Sus scrofa: one gene and its partners. The protein of the gene in region 2 purifies or fractionates together with the protein of the main gene of each other region. This does not show direct contact. Links are inferred from orthologs where the notes say so. Each region holds a gene or a part of one and is shown on either strand. Other genes may lie near its edges.

What was found.
Region 1: the proteins of CCNF (region 2) and TARDBP purify together in Homo sapiens (affinity purification with western blotting; 3 studies listed by BioGRID, with this or other methods). This does not show direct contact. The link is inferred for Sus scrofa from reciprocal best matches to the Homo sapiens genes CCNF and TARDBP.
Region 3: the proteins of CCNF (region 2) and NUSAP1 purify together in Homo sapiens (affinity purification with mass spectrometry; 3 studies listed by BioGRID, with this or other methods). This does not show direct contact. The link is inferred for Sus scrofa from reciprocal best matches to the Homo sapiens genes CCNF and NUSAP1.
Region 4: the proteins of CCNF (region 2) and RRM2 purify together in Homo sapiens (affinity purification with western blotting; 5 studies listed by BioGRID and IntAct, with this or other methods). This does not show direct contact. The link is inferred for Sus scrofa from reciprocal best matches to the Homo sapiens genes CCNF and RRM2.

The regions. Positions count from the first base shown.
Region 1 is NC_010448.4:71,212,063-71,216,386, reverse strand, and holds the start of TARDBP (TAR DNA-binding protein 43), read right to left. Parts: upstream 2,804-4,324; 5' UTR 2,443-2,803; intron 1,452-2,442; 5' UTR 1,438-1,451; coding exon 1,200-1,437; intron 1-1,199. UniProt on the Homo sapiens protein: RNA-binding protein that is involved in various steps of RNA biogenesis and processing.
Region 2 is NC_010445.4:39,596,584-39,600,143, reverse strand, and holds part of CCNF (cyclin-F), read left to right. Parts: intron 1-653; coding exon 654-721; intron 722-1,826; coding exon 1,827-2,020; intron 2,021-2,396; coding exon 2,397-2,450; intron 2,451-3,060; coding exon 3,061-3,165; intron 3,166-3,482; coding exon 3,483-3,560. UniProt on the Homo sapiens protein: Substrate recognition component of a SCF (SKP1-CUL1-F-box protein) E3 ubiquitin-protein ligase complex which mediates the ubiquitination and subsequent proteasomal degradation of target proteins.
Region 3 is NC_010443.5:130,062,839-130,067,108, reverse strand, and holds the start of NUSAP1 (nucleolar and spindle-associated protein 1), read left to right. Parts: upstream 1-1,467; 5' UTR 1,468-1,616; intron 1,617-4,270. UniProt on the Homo sapiens protein: Microtubule-associated protein with the capacity to bundle and stabilize microtubules. May associate with chromosomes and promote the organization of mitotic spindle microtubules around them.
Region 4 is NC_010445.4:126,364,343-126,368,388, reverse strand, and holds the start of RRM2 (ribonucleoside-diphosphate reductase subunit M2), read left to right. Parts: upstream 1-1,243; 5' UTR 1,244-1,447; intron 1,448-2,157; exon of another isoform or gene 2,158-3,235; 5' UTR 3,236-3,275; coding exon 3,276-3,374; intron 3,375-3,466; coding exon 3,467-3,541; intron 3,542-3,894; coding exon 3,895-4,038; intron 4,039-4,046. UniProt on the Homo sapiens protein: Provides the precursors necessary for DNA synthesis. Catalyzes the biosynthesis of deoxyribonucleotides from the corresponding ribonucleotides. Inhibits Wnt signaling.

The sequences.
Region 1 (4,324 bases), on a different chromosome or scaffold from region 2:
CTGCAGCCAACAGATCAAGAAATTACATTCTACCCCCCGCTGAAGCTGGTGCTATTAAAATTTTTCTTAATATATAAAAAATTTCAGAGTTCCCATTGTGGTGCAGCGGAAATGCATCCATCTAGGAACCATGAGATTTTGGGTTCAATCCCTGGCCTTGCTAAGTGGGCTAAGAATCCGGCATTGCCATGAGCTGTGGTGTAGGTTGCAGACAAGGCCCGGATACCGAGTTGCTGTGGCTATGGCATAGGCCAACAGCTGTAGCTTGGGTTGGACCCCTAGCCTGGGAACCTCCACATGCTGCCGGTATGGCCCTAAAAAGACAAAACGCACACACAAAAAAACTTCCTGGAGTTCCCGTCACGGCTCAGTGGAAACAAAAATCTGACTAGGATCCATGAGGATGCAGATTCGACCCCTGGCCTCAGTCAGTGGGTTTAGGATCTGGCGTTTGCACTGAGCTGTGGTGCAGGTCACAGATCTAGCATTGCTGTGGCTGTGGTGTAGGCTGGTGGCCACAGCTCTGAATCAAACCCTAGCCTGGGAACCTCCATATGCCTTGGGTGCAGTCCAAAAAGACAAAAAGAAAAAAAAATTAAAAAAAAAATTTGACTCGGTCTTAATTTCTAACCAAATAAGAGGACTTTGTTGCAATACTAAGTTATAATAAAACACACATATATATCAACTAGCACATTCCTACTGCTAAAATGTACTTATTTTCATGCCACACTTCTAAATCTAAATCGTCATATATCTTCATGCTGCTGCTGCTTTTTTTTTTTTTGGCCGTGCCTGGAGCATGTGGAAGTTCCCGGGCCAGGGATTGAACCTGCGCCACAGCAGTGGCCCAAGCCGCTTCAGTGACAAGGCAAGATCCTTAACCTGAACATCACTGATAAGAGACAGTGAAAATAACATGAGAACCAAAGACAGCACTAATTCAAAATCTGGGCTACTTCAATTGATATTCGTTTAAGGGGGAAAAAAATGATTAGCTGAATGAATGATGTAAGCCTGCAAGGACAAAAACGAAACCAAAGTCTGGGGGCACTTCAGAAGAATCTATTTACAACAATAGACTGATAACAACTGCAAAGCAAGTCTTAATAATTCCTTAAATTTGGCAACAGGCAACCTCAGTTCAAATAGTTTAAACCTGTACTTCAGAATCACTGCAAAACCAAACGGCAACAAACCTTTGGGATAGTTGACAACATATACCAGATTGCCCCAGCCAGCATCAGGGGCATGCAGAATTCCTTCTACCAGGCGGACACCTCTCATACACTGGGACACTGGATTCCTGTAGCGCAGCCCACACGCTCCTGGAAACTGGGCTGTAACCGTGGACAGCAACACTGTCCCATCGTCTTCTGATGGTATTTCAATGGGCTCGTCATTCTCATCTTCGGTTACCCGAATATATTCAGACATCTTTTCTTGTTTTTCTTAAAAGGAAAAGAGAAAGACGAATGACCAACACGTGTGTCATAGTAACTGTCTCTTTCCATCAGCTGATTAATACCCCTGCCAGGTCATTGTTCTACGACTTGCAGAAAAACTCTCGGTGCTGGGCTTCTTACACCTGTTGGTTATCGCCCCAAAATGGGGAGGTGAAAACAAGGGGGTGAAATGCCTTGCTAGTTCCATCACTGAGGATTCGACAAGTGCCTACTATGCATCGGGGGTTACAACTATTAACTCTGAAGCCACAGTCCCAGGTGGCAGGCTGGGTGCAAAGGGGAGAGAGGAAGCAAGAGAAAAACAGCAAACAAGTAATTACCTAATTACAATCGGGATATATGCTACCCGACAGAAAGAACGAACCTCGGGGGCTGGGGTGAGACTGGGCAGGGACACGCGTTGTCAAAGTAGAGTCTCCTGAGAAAGCGATGCAGGAGCCGAAACTTGAGGACTGAACAGGAGCGGCGAGCCAGGGGCAGAGAGCAGGGGAAAAGTTCCTCCCTGTCAAATGTGCGAACTTCCGACGGCTCTCCCAACTTGAGCCCTAAGGACGGCGGCGACAGGTCCTCGGCGACACGGGCCGCCACCTCCCAGAAGCCCGTGCGTGACGGCTGAGGGAGGAGTTTTTAAGCGTGGCCCGGGGTGGGACCGCCGGAGCATCAGGCCTAGACGTTGTCCTCCCGAGTGCAAAGCACGAAGGCACAAAGCAGGGCCCGGGCCGGGAAGCCAGGCCAAACCTCTGCCTCCGGCGGCTCGGCTCTGCGGGCCCAGCGTCTCTGCTTCGGCGCCGGCTGCCACCCTGCGCCAGACCCCTAACGTCGCTCCCGCGCGAGTCCGCTCCGCCAGGATCGAGGCGGGCCCGGCCCCACGGCTCCCTTCCCGGGACGGGGGCCGAAGCCGCCGCGTCCGCTTAGGCTGACCCACTATAGGGCGGAGGCACACAGGGCGTCCCAGTGAGAAGCGTCCGCCACTCACCTGCTAGGCCGCTGCTAGGAAGCCCGACAGGGAAACCGAAACAGCGAGGAATCCAAGAGCAGCCCAGCGACCACTTCGCTCCCACAAAATGGCGCTAGGGCCGCCTCCCCCCGCCTCTGGCCGTCGTCCCCTCCCACCGGCTCCCCGTCGAGAGGGGGGGATCGCCGCACAGAGCCACACAGCCCTCTCCCCAGAGAGTCAGGAACCCATCTGCGCGGTCTGAGCATACGAAACGGATACCACGGTTAAAAAGAAGGCTAGCATCTGGGCCTGAAGAGCTAATAATGGAAAAAATGTGGCTGCGCAGGCTTTTAGCTACCCCCACGTAGCGTAATAGATGGCTTCGCCCGACCAACCGCCGGCCCTGGGTCTCGGCCGGAGCTCGCGCATTTTAAAAGTGCGCGAGACTAACGCAAGGGCTGGGCCGGACCAGGGGGCGGGGTGGGAGGCGGGGCCACGAGGGGCGGGGCACCAAGGGGGCGTGTCCTGGGCCCTCTGGACCCTCCCGAGACTGGGGAGGGTAGGCGCGGCCAAGACCTTTCAAATCCAAAAAGCCGGGCAGATACATCCTCTCCAGTTTCCCCGAGCCTCTGCACCTGGAGAGAATAACTTTGGTTCTAAAAAATAGCAATAATAGCGGAGGTCCCGTAATGGCTCAGCGGAAACGAATCTGAATAGCATCCATGTGGACGCAGGTTCGATCCCTGGCCTCGCTCAGTGGGTTAAGGACCCAGCGTTGCTGTGGCTGTAGCGTAGGTCAGTGGCTCCAGCTCCAATGTGACCTCTAGCCCTGGAACCTCCATATGCCGCGCGTGCGGCCCTAAAAAGACAAAAAAAATCAAAATAATAGCAATATTAGCTCATACTATGTACTGAGAAGTTCCTAAGTCCTCACATATTTAATTGCCCCAACAGTCTCGTGTGGGCGTGGTAGGTGCATATACGGTGAGGGGAAACCGAGGCACAGAGAGGATCAATATCTTGCTAAATAAGGCCACGCAGGTAGTAAATGGTGAACCAGGGAGTTGACCCCTAACCTTAATGCCAACATATTCCAGCTAAAGTAACCTAGTGTACTTCATCTATTTGAAGACAAACTTTTTGTTTCACATTTCTGAAATCATTATGTGATTTCAGCTCCAGTTCCACTGATGATATGTCCTAGTTTAACTGGCAACAGTCTTAATTTCCCAGTGTACCAGGGTATCAGATTCAATGAAATGCAGTAATAGCAAAGTGCTCCATAGTTAATGCATTAACTCATTTAATTCTCACAATAACCCCATAAGGTAGGTGCCATTGTTATCATTCCTATTTTATTTTATTTCAATTTAAAAATTTGTTTGGCTGCCCTGTGGCATATGGGCCAGGGGTCATATCCAAGCTGCAGTTGTGACCTGTGCTGCAGGTGCAGCAACGCTGGATCCTTTAACCCACTGTGCCAGGCTGGGGGTCGAACTTGTACCCTGGTGCTGCAGAGATGCTGCCGATCCCACTGCAACACAATGGGAACTCCTCATTCCTGTTTTAAAGAGGGGGAAACTGAGGCCCAGAGGTTAAGTAACCTTGCCCGGGCTCACAGGGCTGGTAGATAGTGGAACTGGAATTTGAATCCTGGAAGTCTGGCTCTGGAGTGGGTGCCTCCTGCTTCTTACAGACTCACAGGGAATAAATATTAAGTCCTGCATATCCATCTCTGATGCCATTTTTTTGGGGGGGGAAGGATAAGGTTTTTTTTTTTTTTTGTCTTTTGTCTTTTGTCCTCTTAGGGCCACACCCACAGCATATGGGGGTTCCCAGGCTAGGGGTGTAATCGGAACTGTTGCTGCTGGCCTACATCACAGCCACAGCAACACAAGATCCGAGCTGTGTCTGCAACCTA
Region 2 (3,560 bases):
CCCCGGCACAGGCCTGACTCTCCTTAGTCACAGGGCCGCTTCCGGAGAGCTCACTCCGGCTGTGACCCAGCCCACGTGACTCAGATGCAGGTCATCTGCGTGTGGAGACGTTACTCAGCCATCTCCTGATCAGAACCGTGTGGTTTGACTCCCCTGGCATTATACTCCCTGGCTGATCCCACCCCGCCGGCTGGAGTTGGGGCCCACGGGACGCTGCCTCAGACGTGGTCCACCAGCCACTCAGTTTACCCAAGGGCACGAGCCAGCGGCTTTGATACAGTCACCGAGTTGTGCTGTCCTCAACAGTAATGTTAGGACGCTCTCATTACCCCCAGATGAAGCCCATGCCCTGTAGCAGCCGCTCCCCGTTTTCCTTATAACACCCCAGGCTCTGGGCACCCACTGGTCTGCTTTCGGTCTCTGTAGTGTCCTGTTCTGGGCATTTCCGTATGAGTGTCATCATACACCACGTGGCCGCCCGTGCCCGTCTTCTTTCCCTTAAGCATGTTCTCAGGGCGCCTCTGGGGGTGGCGAGGCTCGGGTCATGGATGTTTACCTCCACACCAGAGCTTTCTGCTAGAAAACAGGTATTGTCGTTTGAGGGGCTGTGGCGGAACAAAATCACGCAATGTCTTATGTTCTTCATGGTCTAGGGCTGCCGAAAAGGGGAATTTCGAAGCTGCTGTGAAGCTGGGCATCGCCTACCTCTATAACGAAGGCTGTGAGTCCCGGGGGCCGGCGGGGCGGGCGGGGTGTTTTAGAATGAGCACCAGCCCTGCCGGGTCAGCGCTTCAGTTGCTGTTGCTGCTGGGTCTCTCTGCCGCAGCTGGTGCCCAGAGGTGCCCCGCTCAGGGACCCCCTGGTGAACTTTGATCTTGTGTGGTGTTAGGGTTAGGTTTATTTTAACAAAACCTTCATTTCGATTGACAAAGAGGGACTCTGAGCAGAGACTCAGAATGGGGACTGTCCAGCCAAGCCAGCCTTTCCTGGCTGCCTGCCCTCTGCTCACCAGGCCTGGACCCTGGCTTCTCTCCTTGGCCGCAGCTCCTCTGTGGAACTTGGGGCAGTGGTCGGGTGTCAGTAACCCTGGTGGCCAAGGCCCCACGCAGGAAGCAAGTCCAAGCAGGTCGAAGCCAGCCTGGTGCCCAGGTCTTCACCCCCCAAGGGGCAGGCACTCCTTAAAAGAACCTTGTGCAGCCCTCTCGCCCGAGTCCTGCCTGTTTGCTTCGCACCCTAAGGAACAAGTCTGCAGCTCGTCCTGTCCCAGCTCCCAAAATGCATAAAGACTTGGGGTTAGCTGCCACTTTTCTGCTTCTGCAAAGACCTGGCGTCTCGCTGAGAGACCGCCCTGCGCGCAGCTGGCTGACAGGACGGTCGTGCCTGGAGGCGATGAGCAGTCCTGCTCCAGGCTCAGGAGCGCAGCGGTCCTCGGCCGCTCCCCCGCCACCCCGGCAGCTGGACCCGCATACTATCCGCCCCGCCCGTCTAGAGGGTGCAGGCCAGTGGTTGCTGGAATGTTCACAGCATTGTGCAGCCATCACCACGAATTCTGGAATATGCTCATTTCCCCAAAAAGAGCAGAGGGCTGGGCAGCAGCTCCCACAGGAGGGAGGGTGGGGCTGGGGCACCTCCATGGCCCCTCCTGGACCCCAGGATCCAGGCCACTGGGGGGCCCAGCCGGGGCACTTCACGCCCAGCGCACAGGAGAAGCAAGGCGCTCTCGCGCCGGCTCCTCTGTCCCAGAACGCCAGCGGCGTGGCAGCGGCTTAAGGCTCTGGACCCTCCCCTCCTCCCGAGACATCCGGGCTGTTCTGTTGTGTCTGCAGTGTCTGTGTCTGATGAGGCCCGAGCGGAAGTGAACGGCCTGAAGGCCTCCCGCTTCTTCAGTCTTGCCGAGCGACTGAACGCGGGTGGCGCGCCCTTCATCTGGCTCTTCATCCGCCCGCCTTGGTCGGTGTCCGGAAGCTGCTGCAAGGCCGTGGTGCACGAGAGCCTCAGGGCGGAGTGCCAGCTGCAGAAAGTGAGTCGGGGGGCACGGGGTCCCGGGTCCCAGGAGGTGAGAAGACCTGAGGGGAGAGGCTGGTGCCCAGGTCATGTCGGAGACCGAGGGCCGTGGAGGCGCAGAAACGAGCACGGATGTGGGAGCATCTGGAAACCACAGCAGCGGGGGAAGGCCTCCCAGCCAGGGTCGGGGGCATTGGGTGATGGGCTGGTCTGCAGCTGGACTGACTGCTGGAAAGGCGGGACTGGGGCTCCGGGCAGCAGTGGGCCAAAGCCTGGGATCAGGGAGCGGCCATCTGTGCGGAGGGGCTGGGCGGGGAGCCCAAGGATCCACAGGCGGAGGGCAGCCCTCTGGAAGTTGTCTCCGCCGACCTCACACTCCCGTCTCCTTTCAGGCTCACAGGGCGTCTATACTGCACTGCCTCGGGAGAGTCCTGAGCCTCTTCGAGGTGAGTCTGGTCGTCCATCCCACTGGGGCCTGTGTCGTTTGGCGTCCTGGCTGGGCGAGCACGCAGAGCGCGACGGCCCTGTGCTCCTGTGCCGCTCGCAAGTACTGAGGACCAGGGAGCATGTGAGAGGCGGCAGAAGGGGCCTCCAGGGTTCAGGGCCAAGGCAAGCTCTGGCTGTGGGCCTGAGCTCTGCCTGTGGGGCTGAGCCGTGCAGGACCCCAGGCCTGTTTGTTTCACGCTCTGCTGTTGGTGGGTCCCCCACCCCTCACACGGACCTCTCAGCCCTTGAGAAAGCTTAGCGAGCCTTGTGATTACGGAACCCCACCTCTGCAGCCTGGCCTGGTGGTGGCTTCTGGTGACAGGTGCTCTGAGAGCAGCGGGGGACGGTGAGCAAGCAAGGAGCTGGAGGGGCCTTGAGAAGCGCCCCTGTCGCAGTCTGGGGAGGAGGGCTGAACTCCAGCTCTAGGCGGCGGGACCCAGGGCCGAGCTCCAGGCACACGGGTCGCCAAGTCGAGCATCCTCAGAGAAGTTGTTGCTACTCCAGGGCAGGCAACTCATTTTACTGCAGGTGAGGGCAGTATGTGGGGTCACTTAGAGGTGCTTATTCCAGGATGAAGAGAAACAGAACCAGGCCCGGGACCTGTTTGAAGAGTCTGCCCATCAGGGGTGTTTGACCAGCTCGTACCTCCTCTGGGAAAGTGACAGAAGGATGGATGTGAGTGGGCCCAGGTCTGGGGAGAGGGTGACTGGTGTTGGCCAGAGGCACAGCCTCCAGATTAGCCCTTGGACGGGGTTCTGTCAGTGCGGGGGTCCCTCCTGGGGCCCCAGGAGCTGCTGGTCATTGGGCCGCTCTCAGCACTGCCCCAAAGACAACCACCGCCACCTGGGGGATAAAGGGCTGGGAAGAAGGCCCTGCTGGGGACCCTCCGGAGGCAGCGGGGAGGGGGAGCAGTTGAGAACCCCAAGAGTGGGTTCTGAGTTTCTGCAGAGATACGACTGCATGAAGATATGGTGACTTTCTCCTGTTGACAGATGTCGGATCCTGGGCGATGCCTCCACAACTTCCGGAAACTCAGGGACTTCGCTGCCAAAGGCTGCTGGGAAGCACAG
Region 3 (4,270 bases), on a different chromosome or scaffold from region 2:
TGGTGTAGGACGGCAGCAACAGCTCCAAATAGACCCCTAGCCTGGGAACCTCCATATGCCGAGGGCGATGGAGACAAAAAGACAAATAAAACCCCCAAAAAAACCCAAACAAAAACAAAGATAAATGTAAATTCCTGTATTTAGGGCAAAAAGAGAGATGGCAAGTAAGAGAGACATATTTTAAGATATCAAAAGTTTGAAGACCATCGCCTTTTAGAAGGACATTGCCGAAATGACATATTCCCAAGAAACAAAAAGGTGAAAGCTTTAAGGTAACTTACTATAGGGTGAGTATAGGAACCGGGGCTTTGGTCTAGAGAAAAAAAAAGTAAAGTAGCTATATTAAAATATTTAGTATCTGTGGTATTCAGATAGCTAAAGACCTGTAATTGAATGGCTCTATATTATTTTTTCTAGAGGACATAATTAGGTGGTTTAACTTGGAATTTGAGAGCATAGACTTTGGAAACAGTTTGAGTGGATTCAGATCCTGGAACTGAATCTGTGGGAACTGCTGCCATAAGGAATCTCTGCTTCTAAGAAGCTGCTCAGGTGACACTCTTGAAGGTGTTTGAGGACCTATACCGCCCACCGCTGGTCGCTCACCAGAAGAGGCGCTCCCAATGACACTCCTGCCTCTCCTGGGAGAATCACGAAGGGAGAATCTCAAAAGCCCTGCAGCTGGGTTTAAGAAGAAACAAAAGTGTCAGTTATTAACAGTTTGACATTCTACAGAATGGCGCTCAAAGAAAAGTGGCGAATCTGCTCTCCTGTATTAACCAGAGCTGTAAACAGCAGTTTGACATTTGGGCTCTTTGAGTCAAAATGGGTCAAAGTCAAGAGACAAACTGGAGCTATTAAACTGTTTACCTAGTGTATTAAAAACTCTTGGATCTGAGAAGGAAATTATTAGTAGCATAGTTTAAGGGTGGCTTAAAATAGTCATGCGGGAGTTCCTGTCCTGGCTCAGTGGTTAAGGACTAGTATCCATGAGGACATGGGTTCGATCCCTGACCCCATTCAGTGAGTTAAGGATCTGGCATTGCCATGAACTGTGGTGTAGCTGCAGACGCGGCTCGGATCCCCGTAGCTGTTGCTGTGGTGTAGGCCAGCAACTGCAGCTTCAATTCGACCCCTAGCTGGGAACCTCCACATGCCTCCACATAAGGGTGTGGCCCAAGAAAGACAAATGACAAATAAACTTAAGAAAAAAAAGTCATGGGGCCTACCCAGACTGCCTTACCACGACGTGACACTGCTTCTACGCGGAAATAATTTTACATTCCTAACAAATGAATTACGAAAGGTATTCCCCCGCCATTACTACTCTCAGACCAAACGTTACTAGAGGGACGAAAACAGTGGGTCAAGAGCTATTGATTGACGTACATTCCAACCAATCTACAACGGAAGAAGAGTGCGCCTGCGTGAGGCGTAACTCAACCCGTACTTAGCGTCAGCGGAAGAGGCGGGGCAAGTGGAGACGGCCACCGCAGGGTTGGCGGACTTGAGAAGGAGCAAAGATGGCGGAGTGAGGCACGTCGCAGCTCGCTGGCCTTTGGGCCGGGGGGCGGGCGGCCCCCGGGCGCTCGAGTGCTTCTTCTGGCCAGTGCGAGGTAAGCCTAGAAGGCTAGCGACGGAGGAATGAGCAGAAAGTGGCGCGGCCTATCCCTTTCGAGAGACGGAGCGCATGGAGTTTAGTCGCGCGGGCGCAGGCCTCGGCCGGGCGAGGTTTACCTCCGAGCTGCCCCAGGGCAGCCGCCCCTGCTTTTGGCGGTGTGTTACACACGCTTGAGTCCCCGACCCGCCACTGACCTCTGTACCTTGCCTTGGCTGAGTTGGTACTTTCCGCTTGTTACCCAGCGATTGCACCTACGCGAGTGTGTATCTGGCATTCTCTGCGTCTGCCATCCGCTTATCTTTTGAAGAGTAGCTTTGTTTTATTGATTTATTTATGCTTCTCGCCTGTTTGGCTTAAGGTTCGGGTATCAATTGAGGCTTCTTGCGGCTCTGAGTATTTTGTGTTCCTGGCCTGTTGACCTTGAGATTTGGGTAATAGGTCACCCACCTCCATCCCGGGATTTTAGTTTGACTCTGTGTATCACGCACTTTCTCGTGCTTATCTTTATTATATCCATGCGTTCCCACTTCCACCTCTCAAACTTTGTTAAGATCGGTGTAAGCAGCTTTGTCCTTGTATGACCTGATAGTTACCTAATGGCGCTTTAATCTCGGATGATTCTAGGTTGAATTCACCGTTGTTTTTCACACAAAGGAGTCATTGTACAATTTTTATTTAGAATGAAAGAGTTTAGGGAATTATGAGAAAGCAATTTGCGGAATGTGGTGGGGTTACAAAGTATAATACTGTCAGGCGTTTGTATTCGGTTCTTGTTTAATTTTATGGAATATCTCTTTGTTTTGTTTGTTTTTGTTTTTTGCCTTTTTTACCTTTTCTGGGGCCGCTCCCGCGGCATGTGGAGGTTCCCAGGCTAGGGGTCCAATCGGAGCTGTAAGCCACTGGCCTACGCAAGAGCCACAGCAACGCGGGATCCGAGCCGCGTCTGCGACCTACACCACAGCTCACGGTAACGCCAGATCCTTAACTCACTGAGCGAGGCCAGGGATGGAACCCGAAACCTCATGGTTCCTAGTCGGATTCCTTAACCACTGACCTTAACCACTGAGCCACGACGGGAACTCCCTGGAATATCTCATTTTGTAATTTGGGTTGTTGTAACCTCTCACTCATCCCCCCGTTTAAATTCTGGGGAAAATCCTTGTTTCTGAAGTTGGTGAAGCTTGTTTAAAATTGGCACGTTATTTGGGCCCGGTTAGAATATGTGCTAATACAAATGAATGTATCCGGTATGCCTTTTCCTGGCCCTGTACCTAGCAGAGCTGAAAATACGAGGTTAAAGAAACACTTCTCAATAAGAATTTTCTGTTGCTCTTGTCAGGAGTAATTTTTCATTTCATCTAGGAGAAGAAATAAGGTATGGGGCAGGAAAAAGGAACAGAATATTCTTCCTTTCTACCTTACAAAGAGGAGTGGTTATCTGTACTAAAGCAAAGTCTTTTATGGAAAAAGGTTCTCAAAGAGGACGGTGTTAATTAAAAACTTGAGAACACTGCTCCACGAGTTTGGACATCTTTATAAAATTAATGCCAGTGCAGGTAGAGTAACTTTCTTTTCTTTCCTTCCTTCCTCCCTTCCTCCCTTGCTTTGTCTTTTTAATGCCACATCTGCATCATATGGAAATTCCCAGGCTAGGGGTGGAGTTGGAGCTGTAGCTGCCAACCTACACCACAACTACACCAACTCGGGGCAACCCGAGTGAGCCACAGGTCATGGTGGTGCCGGATCCTTAACCCAATGAGTGAGGCCAGGGATTGAACCTGCATCCTCAGGGATACTAGTTGTGTTTGTAACTCACCCAACCACTGTGGGAACTCTGAGAGTAACTCAGAGTTTGATTATTTGATAGTGATGGTTTAAGAATAATTTGGTTCATTTGAATAATTTTGCACATGAATGCATATAGCTCTAGTGAAGGCTGTATCCTTACTGTAATGTTCTTTTTATTTTTCCTTATCAAAGGCAGAACATTTTTTCTTGACTTTTAGGTGGTTTTATATTCATCTTAGAAAAAACACAAAATTCTGAACTCAGGATTTGGCAAGTGAGTAATAGTGACTAATGTATCCAAATATTTGTTTAAGCAGATTGGAAATACATAGAAGTGGAACAGTAAATCATTAGCTTCAACAGAAAATGAACATCAAAAGTGACCGTAATTTTTTTTTCTTTTTAGGGCTGCACCTGCGCATATGGAAGTTCCCAGGCTAGGGGTCGAATCAGAGCTACAGCTGCCAGCCTACACCACAGTCATAACAACACTGGATCCAAGCCATGTCTGCGACCCACACCCACAGCTCACGGCAACACTAGATCCTTAACCCACTGAGCAAGGCCAGGAATTGAATTGGCATCCTCATGGATACTAGTTGGATTCGTTTCCACTGCGCCACAATGGGAACTCCCCAGATGTTGATATTTTAATATTTACTTTCTAAAGCCTTTTCAGTAGGCCTTTAATATTTCTAGGTATGAGTCTGTTTTTCTGAATTTACCACAGAAGTAAAGTACACTCTTGCTCAAAGAGCAAGAGGTGATAGTGCTTCCATAATTGATAACATTGTCTGCAAGCTAGAGTTCACACCTCCTATATTAATTTCCTGGGGCTGCTATAACAAAATACTGCCAACT
Region 4 (4,046 bases), about 87 Mb from region 2:
TGCATGTAACTGACTTTGTTGTCACGTCCACCACTCTGCAGATTAAAAAAAAAAAAAAAATCAAAGAACAAAAAATAAAGCTCATTTGATATGATTTTAAAGAGACTAAAAAGATACAGTGGACAAATGTAATGCATGTGCTAAACAGGATCCTGAATAAAAAGTGAATGAATTAAAAGACACATTTGAAACGACTGGGGAAAATTTGCTTATGGACTAGAAGCTATTAGGTGATGTTAGAGAATTAATGCTGGTTTTCTTAGGTCTGAATATGATGTTGTGGTTACGTTAGTGGATGTTTTTATTTTTAAGAGTTATATGCCGCAACATGCTGAAATATCTGGGGATGAAGTGTCCTTTCTACAACCCACTTTCAAATGATCCAGAAAAAACTAAAGCCTCCCACGTCCAGAAAGAGAAAGCAATAAGGCAAAATGGAAACAACCACTGAATCCCAGGTGGTGGGTGAAGACTGTAGGATTCTTTTGTTTTTCTGTTTGTTGAAAACTTTATTTATTTATTTTTTTGCTTTTGCTTTTTAGGGTTGCACCTGTAGCATATGGAGTTTCCCCGGCTAGGGGTCAAATCAGATCTCCAGCTGCTGGCCTGCCCCACAGACACAGCAATGCCAGACCCCAGCGGTGTCTGTGATCTACACGGCAACGCTGGATCCTTAACGCATTGAGCAAGGTCAGGGATGGAACCCACATCCTCATGGATACTAGTCGTTACTGCTGAGTCACAAGGGGAACTCCGAAAACATTATTAACAAAAATTGGGAGAGGAAAGTTCTAGCTGGGCAGTTTTAGGAACCGTATAACCTTGGACATTCTCCTTGCCTCTCAGACCTTGATCTCAAGAGAACCTCACACTGTCCTTTGCATTTTAAGTGTTAATCACGTGGTCCAGGGGCCCAGGGGCTGTGGAGTTACCGACGTCAGTGTCATTACCAGCGCGGTGTCCCGTATATAGGTGATGAGTGCTGGGGTAGGGTGAGGCGCCTCTTAAGAGGCCACCAAACCCGCCCGCCCTAGATGCTAAAAGTACAACTTCTCCCCGCGCGACCGCAGGACCGGAAGCGGGGGCGGGGCTTACGGTGGCCTGGCGTGGGATCCCGAAGGCTCGAATGAGCGCCTCCTCTCGGAGGTTGGGGGCGGAGTCTCTGTCCTACTGGCCAATCGTGGAGCAGCTGTCAAACAGGCGCAGAGGGAAGCCAGGAAGATTCCTGGTCAGATTCCAGCGCCCGGCCCTAGGCAGCAGCGGAGGGCGCTCTCTCTTCCGGGGAATGGGCCGCCACGTCCCGCCCGGCCTTTTCCTCTCCGGGACCCAGGCGAGAGAGGAGGCCCTGCCTACCAGAAGCCAGGCCCCGCTGCCTCCTCCCGGCTTGACCTCCCCGCAGAGTCACGTAGCCTTCTGCCCCTGCTTCCTCCTTTGTAAAGCGAGAGCGGTAAAAACCCGACCTGGGGGGGAGGGGATGGGACCTCCCAAATGACTCAGAGGTGGGAGGAGGTGAAGGAGAGGATGGCGACTTTTCCCCCTGCCTCGTGGCAGTTCAACCGAAAAAGAAGTCACGGTTTCTGGCTAGTTCACCGAGTTATACTTTATGGTTCCTGTACACACGGAATATAACAGGAGCTAAAAAGCACATGGTGCCTGGAACAGCAACCCAAAGGAGGACTTCAGGTATTAATTACCCGACATTGAGGATTAGAGAAGGACAGAGAATCACTGATAATTGCGATCGTTTTATGGTGGCTGATAAAACCATCACACCTCTATCAATAAAAATATCCATTTTCTGAAAGTGCATGCTGAAGTAAGGGGAAATCGACAATGTCTGTGAGCTGCTTTAAAACAGATAGACCAGAGTCTTAGTTGTTTTGTCTAAGAGATGCGAAGCTCTTTTTTTTTGCTTTTTAGGGCCGTACCCGTGGCATATGGAGGGTCCCAGGCCAGGGGTCTAATTGGAGCTGCTGCAGCTGCCGGCCGACACCACAGCCACAGCAACGCAGGATCCAAGCCACGTCTGGGGACCTACACCACAGCTCATCGCAGCGCCAGATCCTTACCCTACTGAGCGAGGCCAGGGATCGAACCCGTGTCCTTATGGATACTAGTCGGGTTCGTTACCAGGGAGCCACGATGGGAACTCCTTAACACTGCTTCCTCTGCAATCATTTCTTGAATTTTGCCACATTCAGGGCAAAATCTATGGCAAATCTGAAAGATCATGTACAAAGTAAAATGGACACTTTTACTTAGTTCGAATCCCCCCCTCCCCCATGGAGGTTTTCAACCCCCTCTCCAGGATCTTGGATGCCCAATAAGCAGTACATGAATTTCTAGTTCTTCAAGCACACACTGGACTCTTTCCCAGGAGGTTTTGCTTAGTTTGCCATTTTTAAAACAATATTGACACAGAGGACAGTGGTCTGAAAGCAGACACGATTTCAGCGGGAAACTGCACCAAAGGCCCTTCCTGTTAATGTGAAGGTTTCCAAAGAGCTTCCCATTTTACATGAATGGTCTCACTTAATCCTCTCATTTTCTTAGGAATCCCACAGGTTAGGTAGAGCTACCAGCGCACCAATTCTTTAAGTCGGGTGACCTGTCCTAGTGACACAGCAACTGCACCCCGGGACTCTGAAGCCAGCGGCCCTAAATGCTAGGCGCCACGGTCCCCGCTGAGCACCCCACACCTCAGGGACCTTGTACCCCTCCCCCAAGTACACGTATGTAAATCGTCGCAGCCATGGCGCTTCCCTCGCTGCCGGGGCCGTTTTACTGGCCTTTGCACCAACCTCATTTGCAAAACCTCTCGCCCAGAACCGCGAAACCGGTCCGAGAGACGTTTTCGGAGAGGTGGGGCTCTGTGGGGTGGGGTGTCAGCTCCCGCTCTCCGGCGCCTGGCGGGCTCCAATCGCGTTGTTTCATTCAATCCCAAACCGTCCGGCCCCAGCGAGTGCCCGCGCGCGCCAGGCCACCGAGACGCGCAGGGGCTGCAGCCTTTGTCCAGTGGGGCCCTCGGGGAGCCGGGCAGTGGCTCCCCCTGCCCACCCGGCGGCCCCCGGAGGCCTGGGAGGGGTCGGTCCCGAGGGTCCCCGGCGGGCAGGGGCGGCCTGAGATCCCGCGCGGCGCTTGAATCGCGAGGGGCGTGGCCAGCGGCGGCTCCGCCCAATGAGCGCTCAGGATGCTTTAAATTCCCCTGCGGGCCGGGCTGGGGCTCGCATCCCAGGACCTGCGCCTTCGCCTCACCTGCCCCTCCGCGCGTCGCCATGCTCTCCGTCCGCGTCCCTCTCGCCACCATCGCCGACCCGCAGCAGCTCCAGCTCTCGCCCCTGAAAGGGCTCAGCCTGGCGGACAAGGAGAACACTGTGAGCGCGCGGGCGCGGGGGCCGGGGGTCGGGACGGGGCGGTGGGGTCCTGTGGGACGCGGGCGGGCCCCTCACCACGCGTCTCCCTGCAGCCCCCGACCCTCAGCGGGACCCGCGTGCTGGCCAGCAAGACCGCCAGGAGGATCTTCCAGGAGCCCGCCGAGCCGGTGCGTAGGCGAACGGGGGGCGCCCGGAGAGGGGGCGCTGCAGGAAGGCGGAGCCGGGAGGAGCCTGCGCTTGGCGCCAAAGCCTCATTGTCTCCTTTCAAAGCCTGCCCCCACCCACCCGGGCCCGCTCTCCTTTCCCGCCAAGTCTCTTCCCGATCATTCACCCAGGGGGGGCATGGCCTATTTCCCCACATATAGTCCTGCTGTTTCGTGTATAGGCCACATACCTGACAGCGACCCTAGATTCAACCCCATGAAATTCCCGATCATTGGGTGTACGTGACCTGACTGGAAAAATGACAATTTCATCGTCTGCCCGCTCCTTAATGTTTTCACTGCTTTCCCCCCGACAGAACCCTAAGCTCTCGGCCCCCAGCGTGGAGGACGAGCCGCTCCTGAGAGAAAACCCCCGGCGCTTTGTCATCTTTCCTATAGAATACCATGACATCTGGCAGATGTATAAGAAGGCAGAGGCTTCCTTCTGGACAGCTGAGGAGGTAACTCC